Linked DNA regions of Mytilus edulis. The protein of the gene in region 2 purifies or fractionates together with the protein of the main gene of each other region. This does not show direct contact. Links are inferred from orthologs where the notes say so. Each region holds a gene or a part of one and is shown on either strand. Other genes may lie near its edges. The genes, in order: phosducin-like protein 3 and T-complex protein 1 subunit theta-like.

The links.
Region 1: the proteins of T-complex protein 1 subunit theta-like (region 2) and phosducin-like protein 3 purify together in Homo sapiens (affinity purification with mass spectrometry; 3 studies listed by BioGRID and IntAct, with this or other methods). This does not show direct contact. The link is inferred for Mytilus edulis from reciprocal best matches to the Homo sapiens genes CCT8 and PDCL3.

What each region holds. Positions count from the first base shown.
Region 1 is NC_092353.1:39,176,330-39,192,781, reverse strand, and holds phosducin-like protein 3, read right to left. Parts: upstream 8,689-16,452; 5' UTR 8,557-8,688; coding exon 8,551-8,556; intron 7,639-8,550; coding exon 7,506-7,638; intron 5,737-7,505; coding exon 5,646-5,736; intron 4,971-5,645; coding exon 4,827-4,970; intron 4,243-4,826; coding exon 4,034-4,242; intron 2,344-4,033; coding exon 2,204-2,343; 3' UTR 2,135-2,203; downstream 1-2,134. UniProt on the Homo sapiens protein: Acts as a chaperone for the angiogenic VEGF receptor KDR/VEGFR2, increasing its abundance by inhibiting its ubiquitination and degradation.
Region 2 is NC_092353.1:31,337,359-31,353,842, reverse strand, and holds the start of T-complex protein 1 subunit theta-like, read right to left. Parts: upstream 6,030-16,484; 5' UTR 5,944-6,029; coding exon 5,884-5,943; intron 3,449-5,883; coding exon 3,358-3,448; intron 3,029-3,357; coding exon 2,817-3,028; intron 2,181-2,816; coding exon 2,111-2,180; intron 1,045-2,110; coding exon 916-1,044; intron 311-915; coding exon 249-310; intron 1-248. Other genes in the region: macoilin-like, read left to right, coding at 9,125-9,210, 11,629-11,770, 13,886-14,012, 14,649-14,778, 15,902-15,968. UniProt on the Homo sapiens protein: Component of the chaperonin-containing T-complex (TRiC), a molecular chaperone complex that assists the folding of actin, tubulin and other proteins upon ATP hydrolysis.

The DNA.
Region 1 (16,452 bases), about 7.8 Mb from region 2:
ACTCATATATTTTCACAGAACTACAAAAAAAATTAAAGCTTTAAGGGCCTTGATAGTTGAGTTGTCTAATTAGTTGTTTTCGAAATCAAGGTTTTCATAAACAATCACAATTTAAAGATTCTTTTGAGTGGGACTGTCTCCCCAACAACAAACAAATTTTTCAGCCCTAAATATTATCACTAGAAAAAAACCTGTAAAAAGATACATTGGTTTAAAATCTACTTGTATAAATCTACTTGTATAAATCAATGTAGAACATCTCCTCTACACCAAGAAAATTCCTATTTGCTACAATTAATGGCAGTCTATGTAAGGTGTGTCTGATCATTTTTGTCGAGCTTGTGACTTTGTTACAGAAAGCTCGATATAGGGAAAGCTATCCGGCAGCGGCTACTAGAGCAGCTACTACTGCGGCGTTAGCTAACTTCTTAAAAGCTTTTAAATATTTTAGAAGGTGGAAGATCTGGATGCTCTGTATTTTGTATATATTTGCCTCATTTACAAAGTTTCTGTTTATTACATGTCCATTGTCCCTTACCTCATTTTCATGGTTGAGTGATTACTTGAAAAAAAGTTAAGATTTTTTGTAATGTTTAATTTCTCTCTGATTATGAGTAATAGGATATAACTATATTTTGTTTGCGCGTAGCTTGCAAGGTCCTCATGACCATTACACAGTTTTCACTTGAACTCATTTCTTGGATCAGTGAACAAGGTTAAGTTTTGGTGGTCAAGTCCATATCTCAGATACTTTAAGCAATAGGTCTAGTATATTTGGTGAATAAAAGGATTGTTAGTTGTACATGTCCAACTGGCAGGTGTCTTCTGACCTTGACCTCATTTTCATGGTTCAGTGGTTAAAGTTAAGCTTTTTGTGTTTTGGTCTGTTTTTCTTATACTGTATGCAATAGGTCTACTAAATTTGGTGTATGGAAATATTTTAGGTTGTACATGTCAGGCTCTACAGTTGTATTTGCCCTTGACCTCAATTTCACAGTTAATTGTCCAGTGTTTAAGTTTGTTTGTTTTGTCTGTTTTTCTTCAACTATAAGCAATATATAGGTCAACTATATTTGTTGTATGGAAGAATTGTAAGCTGTACAAGTCTGCCTGGCATGGATCATCTGACCTTGACCTCATTTTCTGTTTCTTAGAAACTATAAGCAATAGGTCAACTATATTTAATGTATTGAATGATTGTGAGGTTTACCGGTACATGTATTTCTTGCATGGTTTATATGACCTTTACCTCATCTTCTTGAATCATGTTAAGTTTATGTAATAGTTGTAGTAAAGTTTTATAGTTAGGACTATCAACATAATATCAATGATTTGTAAAGCAGGTGAAACATTTCAATGAGTTCAATATTTGATCCTTTTTTTTTGTATTTATTTCTGGTTGTACACTAATTACTTCTTGCATCAGAATAGACATGATTAAGAACCGTAAAAATAAGCAAACAACAATGAACCACAACATACCTAAATAATGCAAAATTTAACAAAAAAAAATCAAAATACCAGTAACAAAAATAAATGAAACTTGACAGGACAGTTTAAGAAGTCTGAATGAAATGCTCCCCTTCATCTATGAAGATCACATTATTAGACATACATTGCCAACATCTACATCATTCAGTCTCAGATGGGTATTTGTCTTTTTGACAATCATACCAAATCTTATTTTTATACAATGGGACTGTACAAGTTTTTATATTTTTTTATAGTCTTTATATTGTATAAAAAAGTTACTCTGCAAAGTAAACAGCATAATTCAGTTCTTCCTTATAGTAATACATTGAATATTGATTTTTTTTTTAGCACAAATGTGGTAAAGGGAAATAACTTTAGTAAGATGAGGCCCCTCATGGGGGGGTCCTAGTAATCACATAATCACCATTTTTTTGCCAATATAATCACATAATCATTAAATATTTGCTTATCTTTAGTAATCAAATAATCATAAACTAAAAATACAGTCCTAGGTAATCAAATAATCATGAAATATTTGGCTTAATAATCAAATAATCATTAAAAAAACGGCCAAGTAATCACATAATCAAAAACCCCATGAGGGCCCTCTAAGATGTAGATCCTAGTCCAAATTTTGTATGCCAGATTTCAAACTACACAGTTAAATGATGATAAAAATATGTTTATTTACAATAAATACATAGGTTATATACATAAATGATAGTAATTATCACCAATCATTGTCATCATCACAATCGTCTATTGTATTTTCTTTCATTGCACGGTCCATTACATCTGATATTGATTTTTTAGGTGGTTCTTCTAATTCTGTTTTAACTGTACCAATTTTTGATAGGTTCCATTCTAGTTCTGAAAAAAAAATATATACAAATTTATTTATATAATTTTATTAACTTTTTTCCAATACATGTTTTATATTCATAATGATTATTTTGTGATACCATTCAGAGAATGTTACTTCCATGAAAAACTTTATATTTCATTTCTTCAAAAGATGTGTGTTTACTTTGTTGTATGTCTACACTCTAGTAACTGTTTTCCATCAGAAATCCATACTCAGAATTTACTGCAACTTTCTTAGAATATTCATCAATCTATCAGTGGGAAGTAATATTATAAAGCATTGGTTGTAGTTGATTCCATTGGAATACTAGACAAAGGAAGACAACTCCAAAATTTTAAGATGACTTTAATGTCTTTCGTGCCATGTGGAGATCACCTGTGCTTCAAGTTTAAGCTCTAAATAATATACAAGATAATGGAGTTTGTTTCCAAGCTAGAATTTCTATATATGTTCAATACTTTAGGAATATTATCTAAACTCATATTTTACTATTGGGTTGTGGTCTATTTGACACATTCCCCATTTTCATTTTAGAACAGATATTAAATTCTTGCACCTTGCAAAAGTAATGTTATTTTCTTGACAAGTATAACATCATTTTGTGACTTGAAGATCTGAGCATACATTTCATTCATAAATTTCTGGAAATATTTATGGATAGGATTATTGAATGATATGATCAATGCACTACTGGGGGCTCATTTATTTTTGTTGGTACTCAATTTCTTGGATTCAGAGAGAATTGTCTTTTGGCATGTTTGGTAGATATTTGATTTTGTTAATTGACAAAAGTCTGCATACATCCCTATAGAAATTATGCACTGTGTTCAACCTTAAAATGTGTGATTCAAATTAACCCATAAAATCCACAAAACTTGGTATCCTACAAATAATGATGAATCTACAGTATATATTTATGTATAGCGAAGGAATCGATAAACTTTAGACAATTTAGATATCAAGTTAGTAACCTATGGTTTTGATTGCATGTCGTGCAATCTTTACCAAAAAATTCCATTTTGAACTTCCAATTTTACTTTTTTATCCAAAATAATTTTTGCATATCAATGAGCAAATCATAGACTTAGTCATTGCTTTATCTGAGACTTACCCAGTTTAAATCAGCAAATCATCCTAAACCCCTAATTAGAATTATGGCAATATTCTCAAAATCTTAACCATAAAATGCCATTGTGCACATCCAATGAGTTAATTATCAGTGTTGTTCGGTCACGAGTTGAATATTTTTCCATATTTGAATTCTTTGATTAGTGTTTCTTTTTATTACATTGGCAAATGGCTTTTTTTCTAAAATTAAAGTAGAAAATGTAAGGAACTTTATCTTTTTCTACGCATTCACAATTTGTTTTGATCCGACGTTATCGACGTCTTGGAAACACCTATTGTTGTATGACGTCAGATGAGTGAAATAACCACGTTTATTTCACATGTGAAATTATCTGTTCTTATTTCACTGGGAAATCAATGTAATTCATGTCAACCAATGTAATAAACATATATAATTGGTTCCTACTAACAGAAACTACTGCAAAACTAGCTAGAAAGTTTAAATGTTCCAAGTTAAATACTTTTTTCATATATCTAAGGTTTGAACCTTCTAAAACATCACAGCTATTTTTGGCATTAAGGCCTTTATAATCTAACACTCTGCATAAGTTATATATCATGACCTACCATCTTGCGTAAAATTCATTCCACCAAATTCATGTGGTCCTATAAACTGTTTCTTCATATCTCCTTCATAATACACAAATATTGTTGGTAGGTTTTTGTCTGGATAATTAGGAATGCACACAGATGATACACTTCTCAAAAATTTAACTTCAGGGAATTTCCCCGCTAAGTTCATGATATGTTGATTGATTAACTTACATAAAGGAATACTGAAAAAGAAAATGAAACATATATTAACTCACCTATAGACTTACATATATACACAGTTTGAGTAATCACACAAAAGAAATTGATTTACTTTTCAACTTGTCTATCTGCTACAAACTTGCACAGTTGAGTTTATATTTCTGCTTTTTGCAATATATTTTTTCTTATTTGAAAGTATAGTCATAGGGTACTCAAACCTTTATATAATATATAGTCACCATTAATACCTTTGTCTAGGAACCTGTTGTCCAGTGGTTGTCATTTGTTGATGTAGTTCTAAGTGTAACTGGTTTCTTGTGTTGTATATAGATTAGACTGTTGGTTTTCCTGTTTGAATTGGTTTTCACTTGTCATTTTGGGGTCCTTTATAGCTTGCTGTTCGGTGTGAGCCAAAGCTCCATGTTGAAGACCGGTCTTAGATTTATAATAGTTTAGAAACTACTCTCTATATATGTCACTTTGGATGGATTCATGTGATATTTTCTAATCTTTAAATTTTCTGTGCTTTTAAGTACGGTAACACATTTATGTCATTACAATAAATTTCAAAATTAATTTTACAAAGCTGTGTTTAAAAATTACTTACTCATTTTTATACACATGTAAAACTACCCATACACCTTCCCCTGCTTGGTTAACTTCTGTTACATAATCTACTTTTGATATTTCTTTGACACATCCATATTTGGCTTTCATACTAGCTTCCCTCATTTCTGCCATTCTTTGTCTCCTGTTATATAAACATATATTTAATGACTGAATTAATTATAGAACATGATAAGACTTGTTGTCTAGCACTCAGGTATGATGTTTTTATAGTAAATCTGATGTATGTGTCTTGACTGATACTTAAGTCTGAAAAAACATGGTTTATTACTTAGTTGAAATTTACTTTGAACAAGCTTTAAGTACATTAAATGTGAGTACTCTTATAAAAGTATGTTGTGTCTTTTGTAAGTTTTTAGATACTAAATTGAAGATTTTTGGCCATGGTGAGTCCTTTAGGTAAGAAGAAGATATCTTATATAATTTATATATTTTAGTCTCAAATAAAGCCTATAAATAAAGCTATTAAAAGACATTAAATACAGATTACTTTCAAACTTATGCTGTAAAATAATATTGATATGTGTGTTAAGTTTATACAAAAAATTTCAATCTTAATGCATCTTTTGACTTATTTAATTGTGAGTCCAGACAGATGTTCATGAGTTCAGGACTCATGGACTTGCCTTAGAGAGAATCCTGAGCTTTTTCACAACTTTTGTTAGTCTTTGCATGCTACATGTCGATCTGATAAATTATCAACCAATTATAAAATTGAATGAAATAATAGTTACCGTAACACAAACTTGTGTTTTAGAAATAAACATGAGTCCACAAGAATTGGCTATGAAAATCTTACCTGTATGCTTCAAAGATTCTTTCTTCTTCTTCATCAACATCATCCTCTTTTTCATTCAATTCATCTAAAGTCATGTCATCAAATGCTTTACCTATAATAAAAAAATTCAGCTAACTCGCCGTTTCAGAATGCATTCTGGGTAATATTTTCAAAAGTGTACACCAAAAAGTTGTGATTGTTTTAAAACGTAATTAACAAAAGAAATTCAACCAATGACAAAATGTTATTTTCATTTTGGTGTACGAACAATGAGATTACAAACAGTCCTGTAGATTCTGAATAGGTGATCATCTGATCCTTTTTATTACAATACAAGTACACACCTGTGATATCGCGGGTACGTGACTGAATTAAAGTATATAACTATGCCTAAGCCTTATTTTAGTAATTGGTATTGTCATCTGATAAGTCATGTCGATTATAAGATACACAGTTTTCTCTGCTTTCAAATCTTTCTGTTTGAATCTGTCGACCTGGATCCGGAACTTATCAATTATTGGAAATATTAATTATTTGGAAAACAAAAGGTCTTGGCTATCCAGGAATGGAGTATTTTTTAATCAACAGCATTGTCCTATATTAGTTATCTTAGAAAGTCTTGCTGATTGCTGAATAAAACTACACTATAGGGAACAATTTGACAATGATTGAATTTAGTAGTGTCAGTCCTAGAACACACCCGTGATATCGCGGGTCTGTGGCTGAATTAAAGAATATAACTATGCGTAAGCCTTATTTTAGTATTGGTATTGTCATCTGATAAAGTCATGCCGATTATAAGATGCACAGTTTTCTCTGCTTTCAACATCTTTCTGTTTGAACCTGTCGACCTGGAACTTATCCATTATTGGTATTATTAATTTTATTTGGAAAACAAAAGTCCCTGAAAAGGAGTATTTTTTAATCAACAGCATTGTCCTTAATGAGTTATAATTAAAGTTGAATTCTTTGATTCGCTGTTTTACGTCATTCCGGCTAACAAATTGAAAACTGTACATGCTGTACCTATACGCCTTATTTTAAGTCCAGAATTATATTATTCGTATTGTCACCTTAGAAAGTCATACTGACTTAAATACTACAATCGGGAACAATGCGACAATGATTGAATTTAGTAGTGTCAACCCTGTGATTACGACCGGTGTATATAGCAAAATCCTAAATACAGCGTTTGGTGGTGCGCCTGTCAGATGCGGAACGTACAGATAAGGTAATAGGTAACAGGTGAATATACTTTTGGTATCGGTATCAGATTCGACCGGGAACTTCTTAATTATTGGCAATATTAATTATGTGGGAAACAAAGGGGTCTGGAGTGGTGTAATTTTTAATCAACAGCATTGTACTATATTAGTTAGATATAAAGTTGAATTCTTTGATTCATCGTTTTTACGTGATGACGGCTGATAAATTGGACCTCGCAATTTTGGTATTATAGATGTTATATTGTATATTTTTCTTAAATGCTTAATTAATTAACAGTAAGTTACAATTATTTTCTTACACTATCTTAAAATGTCAGTGGCTGTCAAACTCAAAAATGTCTCACTTTTCAGATTTGAATTATAACATACTTAAACGTAGTCGTATATCAGAATAAAATGTTTCATTGTTTCATTGGCAATCATACCATTACATAATCTATAAGAAAACCACTTCAGATATATATAGCATCACATTTACAATTATAGCATCACATTTATGATTATAGCATCACATTTACATGATGCTAAAAGGCCGGGGGAGAACAGTTCTTCTTTTTGACATAATGGCCAAGTTTGGTTCCAAATGACCATGAGATAAATCCAGTATGTATAAATGCATTGGATATAAATGGATCAGATTACTATGAAATTTTACCATGTGATTTTTCATCTATTGTGTTTTCTACCATACTAATGATATCATCCTCTGTAATTTCTTTCTCTTCTTTTGGTGGAAGAATTCCTTTCTGTCGGAGAATATCATTCCACTGTGTATCTGCATTTGGGTCCTAAAATATGATATTTCATGAATACAATGTATACATATAATAACAGTATGGGCAATCCATAATATCTCACAGTTTCCATTAGACCTCCCTAAGCTACAATGTACATGTACATGTTGTGAAACAGTGGTGCAAATACATGAGATAGCTTACTAGATGTATCCTTCAGTTGAGTCTAAAGCTCAGTATTTTGACATAGATAAAATTAAAACCTTGATGCATCTTTGGGTTCAAAAGATTTGGTAAATGTAATTGTAAACATACAATGTTGTGTATCTTACACATGTTACAGTCAGGTATTTTGTAATAAGAATGGGTCACACCAGTCAGACTGACACCCAGTCTATTCTAAAATATCAAACTTAAACCCGTCACTTACCATGCTACATGTACATATTTCCAAGATTTGTGAATCACATGTATTTGCATATAAATAATAAAAGATAAATGGAAAATGAAAACAGAGACCTACATGTACATTTACACAACAACCTTACCTAAGAGTAGAAAACAGTCCAAGGTATAGTTCTGGTCACAGGTACAATTTCTAGGCTTATTCATCTTATACTTAAGACAATGGTGGTTCCATGAGGAGGGTTCTGGGAGGAACCCCTTTTTTGGGACACTCGATGCATTTGAATGGGCACATATACATGTAGTTGGAACACACCCCTTCCCCCTCTTTTTCATCCGAGGTGAGGAACCCACATTTTTGAAAATGCCTGGATTCGCTCAAGTAACTACAGAGAGGTCCATTTCTGATGACAATTGAATATGCAAATTTTAGTATTTGAAAAGCAGATAAACTAAAGACTTCATCATAATTTTTGACAATTTTCAATGAGATTTCTCAAAATTTATCATGTTAAAAGTTATTTTCAAACATTATAAGTAACGCCATATTAAATAACTTACGTCCATGTTTATCTTTTAAGCTTGGAATGATATCAGAGCTTCTGGAAACTGTTACTCATATGATATTTCACACATGGATCGGTTGATAAACAGGAAGTCCTCAATATTACCATATAAGGAAATATAAACGTCGGCTCGGATCAGGTTTTTATTTCCGGGTTGATTACAATTAAGCAAGTGCTCGAAATATTCGGGAACATGATTAGATATACTGTTCCCAGAAATATTGTATCTTTAAATTTCTATCATTTTTGTGAACATCGAAAAAGCAGTATCCACGGTAAACAACTTCTTGCGGTGATTTAAACTATAATTCCTGTACATTTTGACATAAATAAACACTTTTAAGCTTACCTAGGACTATAACTCAAGGATGTACAGATAATCCCAGATAATTTTATTTATTAGCGATTATTCGTACCCAATTTCAACTTATGTATGGTATTTTTTATCATAAGTAACTGCATGTGGTTCAGAGCAAGGCCATTTCTATAAGGGGCGGATCCAGACAGTGTAGCCTAAAGGGGGGGGGGGATCACCCGACCGGGAAAGGATAAATGGGGGTTCCAACTATAAGTCCCCATTCAAATGCATTGATAGTCCAAAAAAGATAGGGTTCCAATCCCCAGGACCCCCTCTGGGTCCGCCACTGTGTACACAAATCCTAAATCTGGGACATAATTAAGATAGTCATACCAGTGCTTATCCTTAGGTTAACATATAACCAGAGCAGGTTTTCGATCCTTAAATTGGTAGTCGGAACTCAATTAGGGGTCAAATTTCTTCAAATATTGATCTAAATAAAAACAATTTTTCTCTCTTGTAACTTTGTAAACGGCGTAAAGGTAGCATAGGTTGCGGATTAACTCAACACTTGGTCAGTTTTCTTCTCGAGGTTTTCTTCGTATTTAGTTTAATTATGTCATTATGATGTTCATGCAGTTGTATTTCATTCTACATTATTGTACAGCAGCTGTTTACATCAACGTCTTTTTATGCAGCGTATTTGACTCTATTCATATTGTAATTTCCCTGTCAACATTCTTTTAGTTTTTAGAGAATATAAAGCATCTATCTACCACACAGCTGTTTCAATAGATTACAATGTAATTCAAGCGAAGTTTAGTTAAAACACAAACCATCTGGAATATCTTTGCTACATAAGATCACAAAAATTTGTTTAGCGTTTGTATGGACAACAATTCTTTGGAAATCATACACTTTTTTTAAAACCCGGTGTTTTTAACACAGGCACTGTATTTATATACCTCAATAATGTTATATTAAGGTATATAGGAATATTTTCTCCTGAGACTGGTGCCAGCCCTGTGCTTCATCATATAAATATCAAGCACAAGTCCTCCCGTTAGTGGTTTAGTATCATACCATCCTAAAATATATGAGAAGAACATAACCCGTATCATATGCCAACAACTGGTTTGAGAAAAAATGCGTTTATTCCATATTGATAGAACTTCATGAATGGGATTTTCAAATAAGCATATTCACCTGCGGAAAAGTATATTCACCGCTCAAAACGTCGCGTGCATTTGCGTATAACGATACAATATTTTACGTTTAGTTGGTTTTGGTAAATAATTGTTTTTTTACACATATTTTTTTCTCTCGGAACATGGAATAAAATAATGACGATCTTTTGTTTTGGTAAATATGTGGTTTAATTGATTTTTGAAAACCCTAGTAACATTCACTTCGGTCGTTGGCCTTAAAGTTAGTGAATATGAGTTTTTTTTTCAAAAGTCAACAAAACCACACATTTATCTCATCAAAAGACAGTAATTGTATATTATTTCAAATGAGGAGACCCTATAAGTGAACCAATATTAAAGCCAAAATATGCCATCTTTAATTACCTGACAACAGTATCGTAACTATATCCCTTATTGACTAAGTCTGTTTAAATCTTTTGTTAAGCTAAAATGAGGTGAATGCCGACATTTTTGTGCTTAATTTGTAAAGAATATTATTATAAAAGATTATATGTGAAATACCTGAACGTATATGATGTCTGCAGTATTTTGCACCTCCTATTTCATTTCATCTTCTCAAATATCTGAATGATCTCAGTTTGAATGCCATTTTGACTTAACCATATCTGCACACTATACAGAAGGCACACTTTCCCCCCGTTACTCCTGTTAAACCCTTTATCATTAACATATCATTGAATCTTGCTTAGAATCTTTATATTACAATGCCATTGTCCGTCTCCTATATATAATATGTTTTCGGGTCCCATATTATTCTAGAGGTTTGATCCCTTACTAAATTACTGTCTTCATGGTCTTTGTCGAGTCGTTATTTTGAGTTAAGTACGTTACAGTTTGTATCCGAAAGCAGTCTTCTTAAATTTCTTATTTCAACTTTTAAAATTCTCTAAACCTTGATTAGATATCAATAAAGTGGAATATTGCACAAAAAGTAAAGTAACAAAATTACCGAACTCCGACGAAAAACGTGCACCACCTATTTTTCTTTAAATTCTTTAGAATTATTTGAAGGGTTCACCAAAAAGCATGTTTCCTTTATATTTGGGTGCCTATCATTATAGCATTCCTAATTCTCCTAAACCGGCATTATCTATATGTTTTAATTTATAGTACATGTATATTCAGAGACATAACATAATTTATGTCTCTGGTATACTAAAGGACGTAACGTTATCACTGAGACGGGCGGATTTTTTTTCGGGGGGGGGGGGGGGGGGCAACCTCCCCGTTTTGTGGGGAAAAAATATAAGTTCCAAAAGGAAAAAAATATATAACAGTATCCTCGGGCTCGTGTCATATATAACGGAAATTTTGGGGTCCTCTAAGTCTTGGCAGGTCATACAATTTGCATTACGCTTTGTGTATAATTTATTAGTTATAATGCTGGATCGCAGTACCTCTAGTTCATTTCTGTTTTTTTTATTTTTATTATTTATTTTTTTGTTTGCTCTTGAGGTTTAAAAAAAAAGGTTGGCAAAGTTTGAAGTGGGACTTGTTGACTACTAGAACGGATGATAATCTTATTATTAATTGTTATTATAATTATTATCATTATGTTCAATGTTGTAGAGCCGTATACAGAAATGTAATACTTATTTTGTCTGAATTTTGAAAAATTATCCCGTCGGAACCTCACGCTAACTGGTTCCTCTTTAGCGTGGTTCGTTTCTTGCTATGGTCACTTTAAATCTGGCATTTTCGTCGGTCTGCAGGATCAGTCGAATATTATTCGCCGCCATTTTCACAACGTGCTATTATAGCAAATTTTTTGGAAGCCTCTAACGATGGCATACAAAGGAGGACAGAAAGTTCAGAAGGTTATGGTACAACCTATTGTATCCTTTTTTCAAATTAATGAAAGAAATCGCCATAAGATTTCACAGTTTCATGTAAACCACAACATGTATTTACCTCCAGTCAACTGTAGTTGTGTACAAAACTTCCGTTTTACGAAAGTTAAAAAATCAAACTGACTGTACAGACAACACACTACATCTCCTGCTACATGACTCACAAAGATTGATAATGCTGACGAATTACGCTTTTAAATAACGAAAGGGTCACATTTGCATAAGAAAACAAATGTAAACATGGCTATGTTTACACCTCAATTGGGCTCAAATTTACAAAACAACCCACAAAGCAGTCCACCCTGTGCAGTGGAAAAGAGACTAACAAAAACAAATCAGTCCTGATTGCAAACAAATTCTCCAGGTCTGCCAATTTCCTTTTGTAATTTGTTTGATTGGTTAACTGTTTCGGTAGTTTTTCAAATCATTATAGATGCCAACCACTACGATTTTGCATTCAATACTAAGCTATTACGGTCAATGTCAAATAGTTAAGGATTCCCAGTCATCACTGTTAAATTTTGTAAAACCCAGATTTTTATCTATATAGATATATTTCAAAATTTTGATCATGTTTATATATTTAAATATAATAAATATATAAACCTGATCAAAATAATTTAATTTTGAAATATACATTATATAAAGAAGTCTTTTAAAAGGACCTACAAACCTGAAGATATTTGAAAAGTGATCCCTAGCTAACCATACATACAGCTATATACATACTTTTATGTCTCAATAATGATTCTTTGTGTATTTTATTTATTATTATATTTTATATTCAAATATTTTCCATCATTATGTCTGTTTCAAATTGAGTAATAATTTTTTAAAAATGAAAGACGAGCTATATTTTTTGCTAATTGCAGACCAACCTTTGAACCTTATGTATATATTTATATAATTACTTGTAAAGCTTTCACACAATGATTCCTATAAATCTATAAAAAAAAATATGTCTAAAAACATGCAAAATTCTGTCATGTTTAAATGTTATTCATGCATGTAACGTTAGTTAAAGCCTTAAAGGTTGGTTCCTTGAATGTTAAAGGTAATATTATACATGCACTGTACTCACTTCTAATTATAATGTCATGAATGTATCCACTTTAAATGAATATGTTTAAACTATGAATGTATAATAGAAAGAGTATTTTCCTTAACTGTTACACAGAACTTGATTTTTAGATATCTACAAAATGTAAGTATATAAATTCTGATTTATTGTTGAAATTAATTTTCCTTTTACTAATAAATCTTATTCAAAGCATTACAAAAGTCAAACATCTTTGTATGTTGTATTCAGACGGACAAAAGGGAAGCTTTATAGATTAGCATTTTGTTTCAAACTAGGTTTTTTTAAATGTTCCATTATAAACAACTTTCAAAAGAGAAGATGGTTCATCTCTTGAATCCAAATAAAATAATGTTCAAGGGTGCATTTCTCTCTTAACACAAACGATGCCAACGGCTAAGCATGCACATGGTTTGATCATTTGTTTCTAACATACATTTGCAAAGTTTACATAAACTTTGACAAATTATGCACTCTCTAAAAATGTGTCTACAGTTTGTCTTTCATCGTTTGTTAGAACAAACACCACATTTGTTTATAACTTCACTCTGATTAACTGATGTATTTGTTTCTACGTTTGTAAAAGTCTGTTAACCAACAACATGTGCATGCGTTATTAAAAGTTCAAACAGGGTCAGTTAACATTGATTAAACGATGTATTTGTTTCTACTTTTGTAGCGTATAGAAAACAGCAACAAACGCCACACATTGTTTACAAAATTTTTGTTAGAAAAAAATGCACACTTAATCATTGAATTTTGATTTTGCTTTTGAAATACTTGACTTTTTTTCTTACTGATTACTTTTTGTATTAACAGAGATCCAGGATCTCAGTATGGCTGTATGAACAGACAAACCTCAGGATAGAAGGATGTATTGTGGTAAGATTATATCTTTATTATGAAAAAGCCAATCATTCATTGATTAAATTGGCTGTTTAAAAAAAATAATCTGGTATTTGATTTCAATGTAAATATGTGGTAAAGTAAAATTAAATCTTGCATTTGATTATTTAAATTTAAAGGAATAGAGTCAATGATTAGATAAGTTACTACCAGTATATGATAAGCCCTACTTCTTTTTTTTTAGCTCACCTGGCCTGAAGGGCCAAGTGAGCTTTTCTCATCACTTGGCGTCCGGCGTCCGTCGTCGTCCGTCGTCGTTAACTTTTACAAAAATCTTCTCCTCTGAAACTGTTGGGCCAAATTAATCCAAACTTGGCCATAATCATCATTTGGGTATCTAGTTTAGAAATTGTGTGGCGTGACCCCGCAAACCAACCAAGATGGTCGCCACGGCTAAAAATAGAACATAGGGGTAAAATGCAGTTTTTGGCTTATAACTCAAAAACCAAAGCATTTAGAGCAAATCTGACATGGGGTAAAAATGTTCATCAGGTCAAGATCTATCTGCCCTGAAATTTTCAGATGAATCAGACAACCAGTTGTTGGGTTGCTGCCCCTAAATTGGTAATTTTAAGGAAATTTCCCCGTTTTTGGTTATTATCTTGAATATTATTATAGATAGAGATAAACTGTAAACAGCAATAAAGTTCAGCAAAGTAAGATTTACAAATAAGTTAACATGACGGAAATGGTCAAATGACCCCTTTAAGAGTTATTGCCCTTTATAGTCAATTTTTAACCATTTTTTGTAGATCTTAGTTATCTTTTACAAAAATCTTCTCCTCTGAAACTGCTGGGCCAAATTAATCCAAACTTGGCCATAATCATCATTGGGGTATGTAGTTTAGAAATTGTGTGGCGTGACCCTGCCAACCAACCAAGATGGCTGCCACGGCTAAAAATAGAACATAGGGGTAAAATGCAGTTTTTGGCTTATAACTCAAAAACCAAAGCATTTAGAGCAAATCTGACATGGGGTAAAAATGTTCATCAGGTCAAGATCTATATGCCCTGAATTTTTCAGGTGAATCGGACAACCTGTTGTTGGGTTGCTGCCCCTAAATTGGTAATTTTAAGGAAATTTCCCCGTTTTTGGTTATTATCTTGAATATTATTATAGATGGAGATAAACTGTAAACAGCAATAATGTTCAGCAAAGTAAGATTTACAAATAAGTTAACATGACCGAAATGGTCAGTTGACCCCTTTAGGAGTTATTTCCCTTTATAGTCAATTTTTAACAATTTTTTGTAAATCTTAGTTATCTTTTACAAAAATCTTCTCCTCTGATAATACGTGGCCAAATTAAACCAAACTTGGCCACAATCATCATTTGGGTATTTAGTTTTAAAAATGAGTGGCGTGACCCGGTCAACTTACCATGATGGCCGCCATGGCTAAAAGTAGAACATTGGGGTAAAATTCAGTTTTTGGCTTATAACTCAAAAACCAAAGCATTTAGAGCAAATCTGACATGGGGTTACTGTTCATCAGGTCCAGATCTATCTGCCCTGAATTTTACAGGTGAATCGGACAACCTGTTGTTGGGTTTTACAAAAATCTTCTCTGAAACTACTAAGCCAAGTTAATTATAGATAGAGATAATTGTAAGTAGTTAGAATGTTCAGTAAAGTAAGATGAACAAACACATCACCATCACCAAAACACAATTTTGTCATGAATCCATCTACGTCCTTTGTTTAATATTCACAAAAACCAAGGTGAGCGACACAGGCTCTTTAGAGCCTCTAGTTTTATATATACACAGTTATTTCATATTAAGACTTTAAAAATTTCAATTTACTGATCTGTGAAATATACAAGCATATTTTTTTCATTCCAGGGTTTTGATGAATATATGAATTTGGTATTAGATGAAGCAGAAGAAGTTCACATGAAGACAAAGAACAGAAAAACACTTGGTAAGGCCTGGTTTGTTGTTGATACTTGGATATAATTATAAAAGATAAATCTATACTACTTATACAAGTAGGTCAAATTTGTTAGCTGGAATGAAATAAAAAAGACAAATCAAAGAATTAAACTTTATATATAAGGCCAAAAAAAAATATATGTCTGTTTCCTGCTTCCAAGGCAAATAAATCAGGGTCGGTAGGTCGGGATTTTTTTTTTTTTTTTATTTATTTATTTTTTTTTTGCACTCCCGGTCAGATTTGCAGTCCGTTAAATGTCATGTTTGGTGAGGGTCCTGTACCCCAAAATGATTTAATCCCTTTAAAGAAGCTTTAATTGAATAATCCTCCCAGTGCTGACATTATTTAAACTTTAATTGTAGCACATTTGTGCTGGGAGCAGCCATTTTGATGTTTGGGCATAGTAAAATACGGATCTGGATCGGACTGGAAATGAATTTTTCCCGACTGGAAACAATGTTTTTCCGGATTTGAATAAAAAGATCTAGGGTCGGGGGGTTTGAGTCAGGGTCGGTCGGGAAACAGGAAACAGACATATATTTTTTTTTGGCCTAACTTATATAGTACAATGGATTAGAAATTCGTCATTCAAGGTCTTTTTTGTTATCCACACAATTAATAAA
Region 2 (16,484 bases):
TACATAAAAACAGATATTAACTTGAATTGGAACATGAACTATGTTATATTTGGTTTATTTTGTCTTATTTGATGTGAATGTTTACCACATTGTTTATAGGATGTTTATTATTTACCACATTGTTTATAGGATGTTTATTACTTACAACATTTTATAGTTCTCTCATGTTCTTTAATGCAAACACTACAAGCTATTTTAATTGTAGATCCAAGAAAATGCAATTGTAATGTCCTTTCCGTTATACTTACCAAAATCTTACTAACTCGGATGTTATCTACATTAAATGTCGCTTTTCCTGAGAGTATTGATACTGAAATACAAAACAATATATTTTATAATCTTTTCCAGTATTCTCTCAAAATAATTAAAACATTGCAAATATTTCTGAAATATCAGTATATGAAGCAGCTTGATTTGAAAAAAAATAGTAATGTATCTGTATTTTCCTTTTTTGAGCCAAATACTGGTTGAGTATACAAATAGTAATGTATCTGTATTTTCCTTTTTTGAGCCAAATACTGGTTGAGTATACAAATAGTAATGTATCTGTATTTTCCTTTTTTGAGCCAAATACTGGTTGAGTATACAAATAGTAATGTATCTGTATTTTCCTTTTTTGAGCCAAATACTGGTTGAGTATACAAATCACAAGAAGAAAAATAATCATGTTTGTCCAATCAAAAGTATATTTGAAATACTGAGAGGTATAAACATCAATATGTAGATTAAAACAATTTCTTTTTTACTCAAATTTTGCTCCATACATGCATCCATTAAGAAACTTCTCATCAGTTTTCAGAAAATACAAATTAAAACAAAAACGGTTATTTGCAAGCTTCGATATAAATTGAATGCCACAAAATATAACCTTGAACATTTTGTTCTTTTCCATTTTCTGCTGAATTGATTACTTACTACAAGCATCTGTTATAAGATTAGCTAGAAAATCTTCATTTCCATACTGTTTACTCATAACTGATGTTCGTATAGTCTTTAATACATCTTCTTTCTTTCGTAGATTCTTCAGTTCATCACAGACTAAACCTATAAATTAAATAATTAACATCATATAAACTTGTTAACTACTAATATATACATCAATATCATCAAAAGTATATAAACTGAAAAAAGTCCTTCTCTAAGTGATTTGACATGAGGATTGTAGACTCTGAAATTATTACTGGATAATTATGATTGTGTGACTCTTCATTTCTTTGTAAACTCTTTTTGTATTAATACTTACTTGGACTTGATAAACTGTGAAAATGGTTTAAATTATACAATAAAGCTTTTTTTTCATTAAAGGGGCACTAGCTACAAGATATACAAAAAAATCAAAAGTATCAATTTTTTTGTTCAATCATCAATGAAAGTAAAATAGTGAAATAATAATTTGCTTTTATCAGCTAAAATGGTTCAATTTTGTCAAATTAAGCTAATGAATTATTCACTTGCAAGACCTCATTAAATCCGTATTCATGTGAACTCCAATTTCACCCCGTAGAAAGAGATAGAATAAAGCATGCATTGCCCATGTACGGTTATTTAAAGGAAAAGAATGTCAACATTGAATGTGAAACAAAGGTAAATAATTTGATTAACTGATTCGATCAACACAAAATCATTCTTATAAAGGTAAAAACGACGATAAACATAAATTTTTTATCTATTATACAAAATTTAACAGACTTCTATGTTTATGTTTACATCGCTTATATGGTCATAGAAGGTCAACTCCATAGTTAATTAGATGGTGTCTTGGCTAAAATTCACATGAAATGAAGCTACATTTTATTGAGACCATGTCATGTAAATTGTTTATTTTATACTTTTGATAGTTTGGGAAAATGTTTTACATTGTTATAAATAAAATATGAGAATTTGAGTCAAATCGGTGAACAGGAATTTGGCAGCTAGTGCCCCTTTAAAGAAAAATGAAAAAGTTCAGGAAAATGTCTTGCAGATGGCAGCAACTTATAAGGTCATATATTTTACTCTGAATGAGACTCATATTTATCAATAATCAGAGGTAAAAAGTATACAAACACAAAACAAAGGGTCATTGTTTATTTTTTAAATGGCTGTGTTGACAATTTGTTAACAAACTTACTAGGAAGAACGTCTAAAGCTTTCTTACAGGCTAACTCATAACCTTCTGTGACTTCAGTAACAGATAAACCCTGCAAAGATAACAAACATTGATATATCATAAATTACATACTTTTTTATAATTTTAGGAATGACTGTAATATTTTTTGCTATCTATGGAGAAATAACATCATAAATGGGGATGCTCACTAAATAACCCTTGAAGCATGTTCTTTAAAAGTGTGCACCACATTTTTTAGGATATTTCGAACAGACAGAAAAAAGATAACACTCATTCCTTATAATTTACTTATAAATTCCATTTTTGAGGTTAAATCATGAAAATACATGACAAAATTATGTCTATGACTTGATAGACAAACACTTTCCGCCAATCATTCAGAAGACTTGTTACATCCAAAATTAAATTATTTGATGATTACTAATGTTAGAATTTACATAATGAATAGAAAATATCTGTATTGAGAAAGATTTTTTTCTGAATGGCTGGTCAATAATGGCAAGAATGAGAGGAACATCTCCAGTGAGATGACCCTAAGGAAGAAACTCTCATAAGTGCATGAATCTGGTGAAATGAACAAATACTTTTTGGTAAATTTTTGAACATTTTGTTTGAAAGTCAGTCAGCCATCATGAAAAAAAGTTGCAATTAACTTAACATAATCACTTTTAAGAAGTCTAGAATTCATTGAAATTACACAATTTACCATTCTGAGTAAGGATTCAGCATGTTCTAATAAAGCCCCAGTGAAAACCATGACAAAATTGGTTCCATCTCCAACTTCCTGTTCTTGCTGTTGGCATGCCAACACAATCATCTTTGCAGCAGGATGCTGGACTTCCAGTTCACGTAAGATAGTGGCAGCATCATTTGTAACAAACAGCTTCTCTATGTGGTTGATGACCATTTTATTCTGACCTGAAAAGCAGAATTGAAAAATGATCATGTAAATTTAGTTTGTAATCTTTGTGTAATTTCAGTGTTCTAGAAGCAATCATTCCACACACCAAATAAAGTTGACCTATTGCTTATAGTATCTGATAAACATGCCTGACCATAAACATTTAATTTCAACAAATAACCATCATATTAAAGGTCATGTAAGAAAAATAAATTGTCATTCTAAGGTATTAAAAGGTCAACATCAAACAATCATTTATCCATACAAGAACATATATGTGCTTCAGAGAAACTTAGATCAATTAATAGGCCAAGGAGCTTATAGACAACCTGCTTTTGACACTTACCAAGTGGTCCATAAGCTGATGCAGTAGTTGCCGCTAGTTCCTTGCAGGCTTCAATATTTCTGTAAACAGCTTCATCTAGCCCACTGTAGTGCTGCAAAAAGTACATCAAAAATAAATAAACAGACTGCTTCTCTTCTTCAACAGCATGGAAATTTTAAAATGGTGTAATTATTGAAGAAATGGAGTTTTACATACTGTACAAGTTCATGTAATACAAAGGCAAAACATAACAGGTAATACATATCTGAACAAAGAATTACCAATGGGAAATAAATTAACTCCAGTTTCAGCCTTGTCACAAGAATTTACATGATACTTTTAAGCATATTCATATGGTATAGTCTAAGAACACTTTGGACATGTTTATACATGTATGTTTGAAAGAGTTTTAGTATTAGGTTAGAACACTGATACATGTACCTAGAGAACTCTTCCAAGTTTCTTTTTTTTTGTATTTTTAATTGAAATGTAATTTCAATTGGCCATCTGTCCTGTAAGTTGATAATTCCAAGTTTAAATTTCATTTTCTGAAGTAGTTGAAAGACAGGGCTTCTGTTTTAGAATTCAATATTTTAAATATTGTGAAATTAACATACTATAAGTATGAACAACTTAGTTGTCTGACTGTTAATGTGTTTCCCAATAGTTTCTCTGTCTTATTTTTAAGACAGGATTTTCTGCACTATATTTTAGCAAGGTCATTTACTTTTAGTAACATTATGTTTGTCACACTTGGTCATGTGACTAGGTGAATACAATTAGCAGTATTACAGAAAACAAAGTCAACATTATTATCTCTGTATTTTCTTAGGGTACTTATACTATTCTTATTTTGAATAGTAATGCGAGAACAATAAGAATAACAAATAAGATAGAAAAAAAACATTGTCTTTTATTTTTCATCTTTTGTTGTATTTTCAAAATGTATACTGTATAAAGTGGGTGTAAAATTTCATGATTTAAAGGCAACAAAGTAAATGAAAAATTTTGGCGGGTTCTGAAATGGTTGCAGTTAAAGAGTTGTAAAAATTGACAGGAAGAAAACTGTGAAACAAAGATAATCATCCAAGGTGCCACTAAAACATGTTTCACAGTATCCACTAAGGACGATATCTTTATTGACAACTTTTATATTGACAACATTCTGATTCATGTACTCAATAGAATTTTGTTATTTAACTCAGATATTTGTCACAGGTGCACAAACTTCTTGTAAATGTTACGCTGGATTAGTTACGAAATTGACCACACTTTTGATAAACTATATTTTTATAAAAAAAATCAAAATGAAAAAAAAATGTTCTTTCTTGAGATTGGAAAGTTTCAGTATGTTTTCCTATTAATATAAAGGACATATACGTGATAACCATGTTTATGACTTGGACATGATGTCCTTGGAAAATTAATCTGGAACATTAAATTAACTAAAATATTGATACACAACTGTAAAAAAATGTTAAAATTTACCATTTAAAATAAAAGACATTTTTACCTAGGAATATTAATGACATGGACATGATTTCCTAGGAAAGTTAGTCTTGGGACATGAATTCTATTAAATGGTAATGAATAACTCTTTAATAATATTAAAACATAAATATTGAGTTTCTATTGTTTATGAAATTTGCCTTTTAAAATATAGGACAAGGACACTTTTACCTAGGAATATTAATGACATCGACATGATTCCCTAGGAAAATTAGTCTGGGGACATAAATTTTATCAAAAAAATTGATACACAACTTTTTAACAATATTAAACATAACATTTAAATTTCCATTGTATATTATGTAATTGAATTTATCATAGGATTTTATAGGACATGATTTCCTAGGACAATTAGTCTAGGGACATAGATAATGATTACTAAATATACTAGTAAATTCTGTAACCATGGACTTTTTATACTAGTAATATTTGTTCGCCCAGACATATTTCACCAGGACCAAGTTCTTATAGTGAAAGCATATTAAATCATTCAACAAATGTTCCTGAATAGTGTTAAAGCACCTTGTCCGGAGATGTATTAATTTAAGGGGTCCCTCCTTTCGGCTTTTGTTGGAAAATTTTATATTATGTAGGGAATGACTGGCCCTCCTTATGTGGCAATAAATGTGAGAATTGCCCTCTAACCTTTTCATTAGATTATAACCTAAAATTTATTACATGGATGTCAATGATTTCGTTGCCATACACTACACACAATATTCTCTCCCTCACCCTTTTTTTTTTAAATTTTGCAACTTGTATATATTTGACTTCCAATTTAGACAAAGAACTTTGATGGCAACTTTTAAATTTAGTTATTATTGTAGGGCCTTGCGGTAGATGTTAAAATCATTTCTTTTTTTCGATTAATCATGAGAACATTCCAGATCATTCTAAATAAAAGAAGCATGGAAACCACATGGGTTTGCCTACAGTAATCATTACTGTTAGTGTGGGTTACGTTTGAAAGTCAAGCGCGGAGTATCAGATAGAATTATATGTAATATGCATTTAATTTCATGTCAAACTTAAATTCACCTTAGCACCTTCTTTTAACATTTGGGCAAAGCCCGGTGCCTTAGGAACGTGCATCGCCATGTTTCAATCTGTTGAGTGTTGTCTTCCCAGAGTGCTTTAGTTACTTTATAGGGAAGTGTTAATTTCATTCTTTCTAAGTCATCTGGTGCGATAATTCTAGCCGAGTTGTCAATATGAGTAATAATGTGTGACCATTCCATCTCATCATTCCAATATCCGGAAATATTCTTTGAAGTTGCAAATCATATAGTCCGTTACCGTTTAAAAATTCATTTTATTGTGAGAGAATTCAAACTTAATCTATAACTTGTCATTCAGAGTGTCAATTATATAACAAATAACAAGTTTCTATATTCAAATAACAAGAATCTATATTCAAGCATGACGAAAAAAAAGTGCTAAAAACTAATTATTTATTTAAAAGTGAATTTTATAAGTCTAAGGATCATAACTCAGACAGACAGACAGACAGACAGACAGACAGACAGACAGACAGACAGACAGACAGACAGACAGACAGACAGACAGACAGACAGACAGACAGACAGACAGACAGACAGACAGACAGACAGACAGACAGACAGACAGACAGACAGACAGACAGACAGACAGACAGACAGACAGACAGACAGACAGACAGACAGACAGACAGACAGACAGACAGACAGACAGACAGACAGACAGACAGACAGACAGACAGACAGACAGACAGACAGACAGACAGACAGACAGACAGACAGACAGACAGACAGACAGACAGACAGACAGACAGACAGACAGACAGACAGACAGACAGACAGACAGACAGACAGACAGACAGACAGACAGACAGACAGACAGACAGACAGACAGACAGACAGATTAAATGCGGTGGTGATATATGATATTTTGCAGTTTCTGTTTAATTTATTAATTCACGCTTCTCTTGATTTGGATAGATTTGAAATATGCTTTAGCCTATATTGTAATACTAGGTATATACAACTTATCTATTGTTAAAGAGCTTATATATTTATGCAAGCTTCTATGGAGGTTTGTCATTTGACAATTATTTATGTTAATATGGTGTTTTGATGAGAAAATAACCCTCTGTAAAAATTATCCCAATAGGTAAATATTTAACCTCCGCCCGGTGCAGGTGTATCCAATTTCATCATATATGGAAAATACACTGCCTTGTATCGTTTTGTTTACTAGTATATATCTTGACTATAGACAGAAGGGAAGTATAGTGGCGCTCGTCTTGACATAGTACATGTAGCTTCATCAATAGATTCTCGATTCATTTAGATCGGTTGGTTAAGAGGTGTTTCACAATATGCCAGTCGTCCCAATTTCGGCAACCATTTGTCACATAATTTGTCGCATGGTATTGTAGAACATAATTTAGAAAAATCATGTTCTACATTACTATGTTACATTACAATAAAATAGGCGAAGACTAGCTTTTTGAACGATCTAGTCTTCTGTGCAGATCTAGAAGGTCAATGTAATAATAATAGTAATATAATAATATAATAATAAATTCTTTATTTAAAGAGGGTAACTCAATTAGAACTAGTCTAATTTTCATTGAGGCCCTCAAACAAAATACATCCACACAGTTAACGTCCGTCTGTCCCACTTCAGATTACTTGCATGTTTTGGTCGAGGTAGTTTTTGATGAAGTTGAAGTCCAATCAACTTGAAACCGTTAGTACTCATGTTCCCTCTGATATTAATATTCTTAATTGCAAATGGTAGGTTCAGATTTTGGACTAATCCTCATCCGATTTTATTATGCAGCACAATATATTTTTAATAGTCGGGACTCTTCGTTCAATAAAGACTTTGAAAGGTTTTATCGTTTGGCAAGAAAAATTAAAGAAATATATTTGATTAATTATTTTTCTAATCAAAACTTTGCTGTATAACTACACTCTTTCGGGAGAGAACACAAAAATAGATTTATAAAAGAAAGTAAAGTAAATATGCCACGGATTGTTTTATTGTAACAAGTGAACCAATGCCATAAATTCACCATTCTCCCAAATTAGGTATGGGACTCGAGTATGGGATATCCTTTCATATCTGATCATATTTTATCCCGTTAAATTTCTTTTTACTCGCAAAGTGTTACTCAGTCTTTGCTTATATATAGTTATTTATCATATATTTTTAATAGAATCAGATTCATATGAAATACGTTTTTATCAAATCATCTGAAAATATAACCAAAAAAAGAACATGCATTTTTCCAGCTGATTTTTTATTCATAGACTTCCTTATTTTCTTAATATCCACATCGTAATGTCCCCTACAACCTTATTACATGCTCAATATAGAGCTATATGAAACTGGCAAATAAAATAAAAAGATTACTTAACAGACAAATAGGGGATTCCTATATATACATAATCATTGGACTAAAGTAACATGAGTAAGTTCCCACTAAAAGACTGATTTTATCTATTTTATAAAAATCGCTCATAAAGTACTAATAGGTAATATTTTTTTGAAAAATATCGATTTCAGTTGAAATGACATATCTGAGTGCACAGTTTTTTTCCTATGCCAGAAAATACAGCAACTGGACGTCATAGGTCAAATGTTGACGTCATTTGATTTATGACCGTCACGCCAGGTATGCGATACGGATTATGCAATACAGAGTAGGTGTTACAAACTGGAAAAAATAACCTTTATTAGATATACAAAATTGCTGTATTTAGTACTAAATATATGATAAACAGACATAATACATGACAAAATCCGTAACTTATACTGTATCATCACGAGAGATCAATATCAGTCCCGAGGGCCGAAAGGTTTTGTCATATACAAGTTATTATATATCATACTTTCAAAATATATATGGCCGTTTCCACAAACTGCTGTTAAAAACCAAAAAAAACAACATTTACTTATATTTTTTTTAAACAGCAAAATTTTAACTAAATTTAATTAAGAAAAAAAATCTATTGTTTAAATCGACTTAATTGTTAGTTATACGTCCTTGTTAGTTTGAATAAAAAATAATGATCTGTATTATGGTTGTTGAAAATATAAGTAAATCAACACTTCATTCAAGTAAACAGACACCTGCCGGAAAGAGACGAGACATTACGGAGTCACACGGAAAATAAGGATCTAAGCGCATGCGAAGATTGAGTTGACAGAGCAGAAGACAATACACAAATATTTGTTATTGTTTTGGACATATTCAGTTTAAGAGTTGTGAAAATTGACAATTAGTTAGCGGATGATTATGAAGAGACGGAATGTCGATTGCGGCAAAATTAGACGGATCCCCAAAAGAACAAAAATAACGGACGGTTTCTACGGAAGGTGATTTTCCATTTCCAATATGGCAGCAAAAATGTTTCAGAGGATAAATATGTATAATCCAATATTGATGTTGTTTCCAAAATACCTTATTATGTTGTCTTATGTTCCATTTAACACATCATAATGTCCAATGCTAACTATTAATGGACAGGATGATAACATGGCGACACCAGATTCTTTGTTCGCAGTCTTTATTTTCATGTTAATTAGGTTACCTGGACAGGATTATTTCCCCTGTTCAGTCTGCATTATTTTTGTTTGTGTTATTTATATAGCTTATTAACTCATATTTTTAATTTAAGAATGAAATCATTCATAAAAATAACAGATAGATCTAGGGTTTTTTATTTAATATTTCCTGGTCAGTGTCCTTAATTATATGTTATTGTATAATTGAAATTTGAAAATGCATTTTATTGAGCAATACAATTTATTTTTACAGTTCTAAAAGTTCTGGATTGAACCAAATTCAATATGTAAATTCCCATATTAACCAAGATAATATATATAATCAACATTATCAATAGTGTACACCGGTCAAAATGCCATATTCTCACTCACACTTTAATTAAAGTTTCCTAGGTAACAATTGATTTTTAACACTATGTCCTAAATGTGTAATAATTTCATTATGTTTGATATTAAAACTTTATGACTTATTAGGATTTACTGTGAACGTACTGCATGTACTCTGATCAGATCATTTGTGGAGAGCAAATGTGCATTTTAATTTATGCTACAGTTCATATTTGATTTATCGTCATACATTTCACATGTTTAAGTACGGCTACAAACTAGGTGATTTTTGTTTTAGCAGTGATAATTTACTTGTTTAATTTTATAATTTAAGTTTTTAAAGCATTGATCTTGCCTAGGACAGTAGGACATTCATTTTTCGTACATGTACACTAAAAAATAAAAAAAATGAGAAAATTGCTAAAAGAAGCAGGATGAAGTCAATTAGAACTGCCAGGCCTACTATAACATCCAAGTCAGACCATACCAAACTCAGCATAACATTATTTATACAGATACAATGAACAAACTCTGCATAAGTTTCGTAGATTTTAGGGGGACATAGAATGACTCTCAGGGGTTCAAATCTTACCATTTTTTACATCAAACTTATACATGTTGTACATGTTATATATTATATGATTAAATCAGCAATGTCCTGGACAAGTTTGAAAATCATATTTTATAATGCCTAATAATGGCCTATAATTTATTTTTAATAGAGTTATGCCCCTGGATACATAATTTATCTGGAAAATCACATTGTTAACCCCCCTCATTTGTAAAATTCATGCCAGAAAATTTTATGGTAAATGGTAATCACAATACATAACATTGTAGCTCTAAGCCTTCATTTCTCTAAGATATAAATCAAAAGTTTTATAGAAAAGAAAAAAAAAAGTGTTTCTTTAGTTAATGACCTTGAACCTTGGATAAATAAAATATGTGCAATGCAAAGGACATTGAAACTTTGTTCGTTTATTTATTTGCCCCAACTGGCATGACTGGTGCTGAAGGGACATTTTGTTTTACCCTTGTCTGTCCCAACCTCCCATACTAGTTTCTGATCTTCGACAAAATTTGCCTCAATTAAATGTTAAGAAACTTGTACAGAATGCTTATTACCACCAAATTCATATCATATTTGAATTTGGTGGACTCCAATTTGGAGTCACTTTTATAGTGTTTGAGTTATGTCCCTGTATAAATGGATAAATTGAAAACTTTGCCATTCCACCCTTTAACTTTAGGTTTGCTTGAACCAAATTTTTTAAAGCGGCTTGACTATGCTTATTACCACTAAGCACAGATCAAATTTGAATTTAGGCCTTAGGGGGTATCACTTTTGCTGTTCTTGAGTTACATGTACATTGTACAATGTTTGTCCCTTTGTAAATCTGTATCCATGGGACACACTTTCCATTCTTCCTCTATACATTGTACCTTATACATGTTATACAAAATTATACTAGTGGCTTATGCTGACATGACAAGTAATATATTTGAGTTCTCACAATGTCCATACTTTTCATAAATGTTATTGCACAGCTTAAACATGTTAATTGTAAATTTAAAACATAAAACCAAGTACAAATGTATCTTCAATTCTTTAGATAATGATGCAGGCTGCACAAGTAAAATAATTGAGTTTTTACAGTGTCTATAGTACTGTAAATTCAGATGTTAATAGGTGCATTTATTATTGCGATTTTGTCATTTTAGAATAAAAATGCCATTTCATTTTTTGCAATATTGAAAAATTCTGTTGAATTCATATAAAAAAAATTTAAAATACGAGTTTACATTATTGCGATTATAACCCTATTCAGAAATGTAATTGCCCAGCTTAAATTAAAAATTTTAAAACAAAATATTTTGAATTGTTTAATTGTTTTCTTTCAGTACCTTTTTGTACCTGAAGTTTTTGATGGTTTGGGCTCTTGTCCTAATGGCAGATTTTATACTAGAGTTCCGGTTTGAGTATCTGTGGCCATTCTGGTTATTGGTTAGAAGTGTCTATGATTCATTCAAATATCAAGGATTGGTAAGTTAAGCATTCAATTATTAATCATAATATGTCAGGGCTCACGCTACCAGGCGACTTGGGCGAAGAAGTCGCCTTCCCGACAGTCACTTCGCTTTCCCCGACCCCCAAAAGCGAAAACAAGTCGCCCTGTTCTTGACGACAGTCGCTTTCAGTCGCTTCCGTCATCGGACATTTTTAATTTTTACCAAGTTGATAAAACATCAAATTTTTAATGATAATGAAAGAAATTCAGACATAAACGATTCATCATCTTTTGAAAAGAGGTTGAAGCATTGTCTTCGCAGTGTGTAGCAGGTTATTTGATAAAAATACAACTTTTTATCACTTCGTGCATTTCCGCAAATACCGGTGCTTGTTACTCGAAAACGTACATCAACCTCAATTTTGGCGGCAAAATAAGTTTGTTACTTCATTTAAACGTGATAAAAGTTGCCTCCAGTAAATTTTAATCCATTTATTGCATTAAAAACGTCATGTTCCTTTCCAAATAACTTGTCAAACATCGTTTATTTTTGTAAATTTTCTTGCATTCGTCCGCCATTGACCGATTTCTAATCTCCGGATCTGAACTGGACCAGCTATGACCGAAATCCGTACTTTTACAATAATTACTACGGACGCACGGATGGAACAGCTGACAGAAGAATATTGATGCCAAAGGGAAAAATTACGCATTCCACACGCATTAAGAGACTTTTGGTTACATCTAATTGATTGTTGTATATAATTCCTTATATTTTTTATGGATTGTTTCAAACTATTGATTAAAGTTGCTTAACTCTGAGACTATTATACTAATATCAATATATTATGGCCCAGCTTAATAACTTTTATATTTTTTTATGAGAAACACTGAATGTCATACACAAGATAATTTTTAATTAAATTGTAATTGATATATTATAATTTCTTAACATTTTTTTAAATATTTTTTATTTTTTTAGTGCTAGATATTTAGTTGGTAGTTTCTCACAAGCTTAGACAACTTTTAATTTCAAATGTTACTTTAATTGTAATTTTTTTACTCAGATATGAATTGAACAGTATAAAAAGAACATTATTTACATATGGCCCTTTATACTATTGTAAAATCCAAACATTGTATCGCACTGCACGAATGAGCACTTCTCCCTATCAGTTTCAAAAAGAGAAGTCACTTCTCCCTATAATTCTGAAGTAGTGTGAGCCCTGATATGTAAATAAAAAATATTTTGTGTTCATTTACATTTGTTGTTTGTCTCTTTAAGAAATATTGTACAATTATTTTAAACCAAAATTTTGAGTGTACAAATAAATTAAGAGAAAAAAACCCAGTTATATTATGTAAGTCATGAACATTTCAGTATAACTACATGTAACAATCCTTGTTACTTGTTAGTCATATATAACATATATTTAAGAGCTATTGGGGAGCAAAATATACATGCAACATTGATGCTGCAGTTATAGAAGCAAACATGAATTACTGACAAATCATACATATGTAGTCCCTCTTTGCCTGGTTTGGACGTCTCTCCATACAAGAAACGCTGCTGGTTGTGAGAGATTCAATTGTGGATATCCTCTGTCATAGATATAAGATGTGGTATGAGTGCCAGTGAGACAACTCTCCATCCAAGGCACAATTTGTAAATGTAAACCATTAGAGGTCAACATACGGTCTTAAACACTGAGCCTTAGCTAATACCTAACAGCAAGCTATAAACATTGATAAAAGGCCCCCAAAATGACTAGTGTAAAACCATTCAATTGGGAAAATGTCTGCCTAAATAATACATAATTCCATTAGACAGTAATATCTAGATTTCATAGAACAAGAGTGTCACTAGAAACCATTCTTTTCCACAGTGAATCACTTAATACAAGCTAAGTTTTGATAGCAAGAACGATTTTTGACTAAATTACCTGAAGGCTTACATGAATGTGTACTGTAAATTTTACCAAATAGCAGTACCTATGGCTCCAAACCATTATTGTACATTTAATGTACTATTTATTCCTATTTAAGATCAAGTATATCTAGTGATAAAAAGTTTGTTTTAAAAGAGAGAAAATTGTAGCTTTTGACTCCAAACCATTTCTTTTACATGTTTCTGTATGCAATATTTTCAGGCATTTTCCGTGTTTTTCGTGTGCATTGCTGTCACCTCAGATGTGGTGTGCTATCTGTTTATACCTGTACAATGGTTATTTTTTGCTGCCAGTACTTATGTCTGGGTCCAGTATGTATGGCATACAGGTAGGTCAAAGGTTGCATATATAAAATTTATAATAAAGGTTTCATTTAAACATCAGCCCTGAAGAGATACATACATTTTTTGTTTTTGTACATTGAGATAGCAAAAGTAAAAACGTTATTTTTCTTAGTAGCTTTATATTCTTAAGTATACACTTTTTGGGGCAGAAATCACTACCAACTCCTGTCAAAAAATGAAAAGGAGAGAAATAACAGTATAAATTAAGAGGTTGAAATATCTTGATATTCTGAACTAACTTTTTACAATATTTGAATGTAAATTCCATAAGAATTTATAGTGAAATGTATCACTTGAAATTCTTAACCAAGTTAAATTAATATTTCACAAATTTATATATAGTGTCCTGTTACCTGTATTTATTTGATAATATTGTAATAAAATATAAGTATAAGTAGTGTTCCCCAATTGACATTTTTTTTTTTTTTAAATACTTGTAAACCACTTCAAATTTCCTATTTATTTTCCTGTAATTATATTTAATCAAAAACAACAATGGATTAAGTTCTGATCTGTCCTGAATTGTAAGTTAGTAATGTATCAAGTTTTTTGTTGATAATGTAGATGTAAAAAAATATATACAAAAAAAGAAAACTTTTGAAAATTTGAACTTTTTGCAGAAAGAGGAATATGTCTTCCTACAGTTTCTCTATGGTTGCTGTTTGTCTACATAGAAGCTTCAGTCAGACTCAGAGAATTGAAAGCTTTACCATTTAATCTTGATCTCTGTAGACCATTTGCAGCTCACTGGTAAGAATTTGAGTTTAGTATTAGTATTCGTGTGCACTGGACATGTAAAAAGAAATGGTGTAAATGTTAGCGAGACAGAAACCCATGAATACAAGTTCTTCATTAAAATAGACCTCCTGTTTAGCCATGCAATTACACTTTATTTTCTACACTTCCTCCAAGAAAATAGACCAACACAATTGCTTTGGTCAATTATATATACTAGATTTTATTTAAGTTTCATCATGCTTCCCAGGATTGCTGATTTCATAATTTGTAACTCCTTACTGTATTCATTTAGTCGGGCAGGGATCTCCATGGATGAAAATTGAACGACGGAGGAACTTACCATCACAAACGGTGTCTACGCCGTACAGTGTAGCGCGATCAAAACTATTTCATCCCTCATAAGGATTGGGCCCCGATTGGTGAAAATGCTAATTTATTGCTTATTTAAATTATATTTATTTGAATTTACATTTTAAATAGAAGTATAAACATGATAAATATTTTCAATATAAATTGCTGTTTATAACCATTCAAAGGCCAAGCAGTACTCAAGCTTTTTGAATAATTACTGTTTTACGTCTTATTTTGTACTTCTTATAAAAAGGGGATGCTGATTACGTAAGTCAAAGTAAAAGCATGTGTTCGAGTTGTTAAACTTCTTTCTTTGTAACTGGATTATTAATTTATTTATTGAATCTAAATTATCATAAGCATTTGCAGAAACTTAGTTGAATAATTCGACAAATGAATCGAGCTTTAAAATTAAACGATAAGTTTTGACGATGGCGGAAGATAATTTAACGATGGCGCAGGTCATTTGACAATTGAGCAAGATATTTGAACGATGGCGTCCAGGTTATGGAGATCCCTGAGTCGGGTAAAAAAAATTATAAGCTGTTCGTCCAAGTCGATAAAGAAAAAAGAGCAAATGAACATGATATACACACTGCATAAATCATACAAATATTCTTCTTTTATGCTCCTGCCATAGCTAGGCTCTATAATGCAAAAAATTTATATTGTTTCAATTGGCCCTAGATCTTATCCAATGTAGCCTCTTCAAATAATAACACACTTTACAGAACTTAATGTTTTAAAATTGTACATTGTTTAAGGTTTTATATTGTTGTTTCAGTATTGGTTATCCTGTTGTTACACTAGGTTTTGGTTTTAAAAGTTATGTGTCTTACAAGTTTAGATTGGTAAGTTATTGTATAACAAATAAGATGTACACAACATAAAGATGAGGGGGATTGAAGATATACAGTATTATACATGAAACTATAAGATAAGCTAAGTTGATCACATTTATATGAGAAATTCTCTCAAAAGTGAGCTAAAATAACACTGTGTATGACCCTGATTACAAATTTAGGACAAATTTTATCAAAGTATAGACATATACAGCAATAATGAAAGAACTGCTAAATAACTTTGTAGAACAATGATATGATTTTAATATAAAAGTGGGTATTTATTTCATTTAGTGTAAAAAATGTGAAGTGTCAGTATCATTGACAGTGTCTCATTATCAACGTGTTTTTTTTTTAATTGATCCTTTATAAATCTCAAAACTTAAGAATTATTGACATCACTTTCATACCTAGGGTAGGTCATATTTCCTTCTATCTATAAACAAGTTTGAAAATAATATATTTTTAACACAACTGGCTTAAATGAACCAAGCTTGGCAGAAAATATTCATTTTGTTAAAGTTT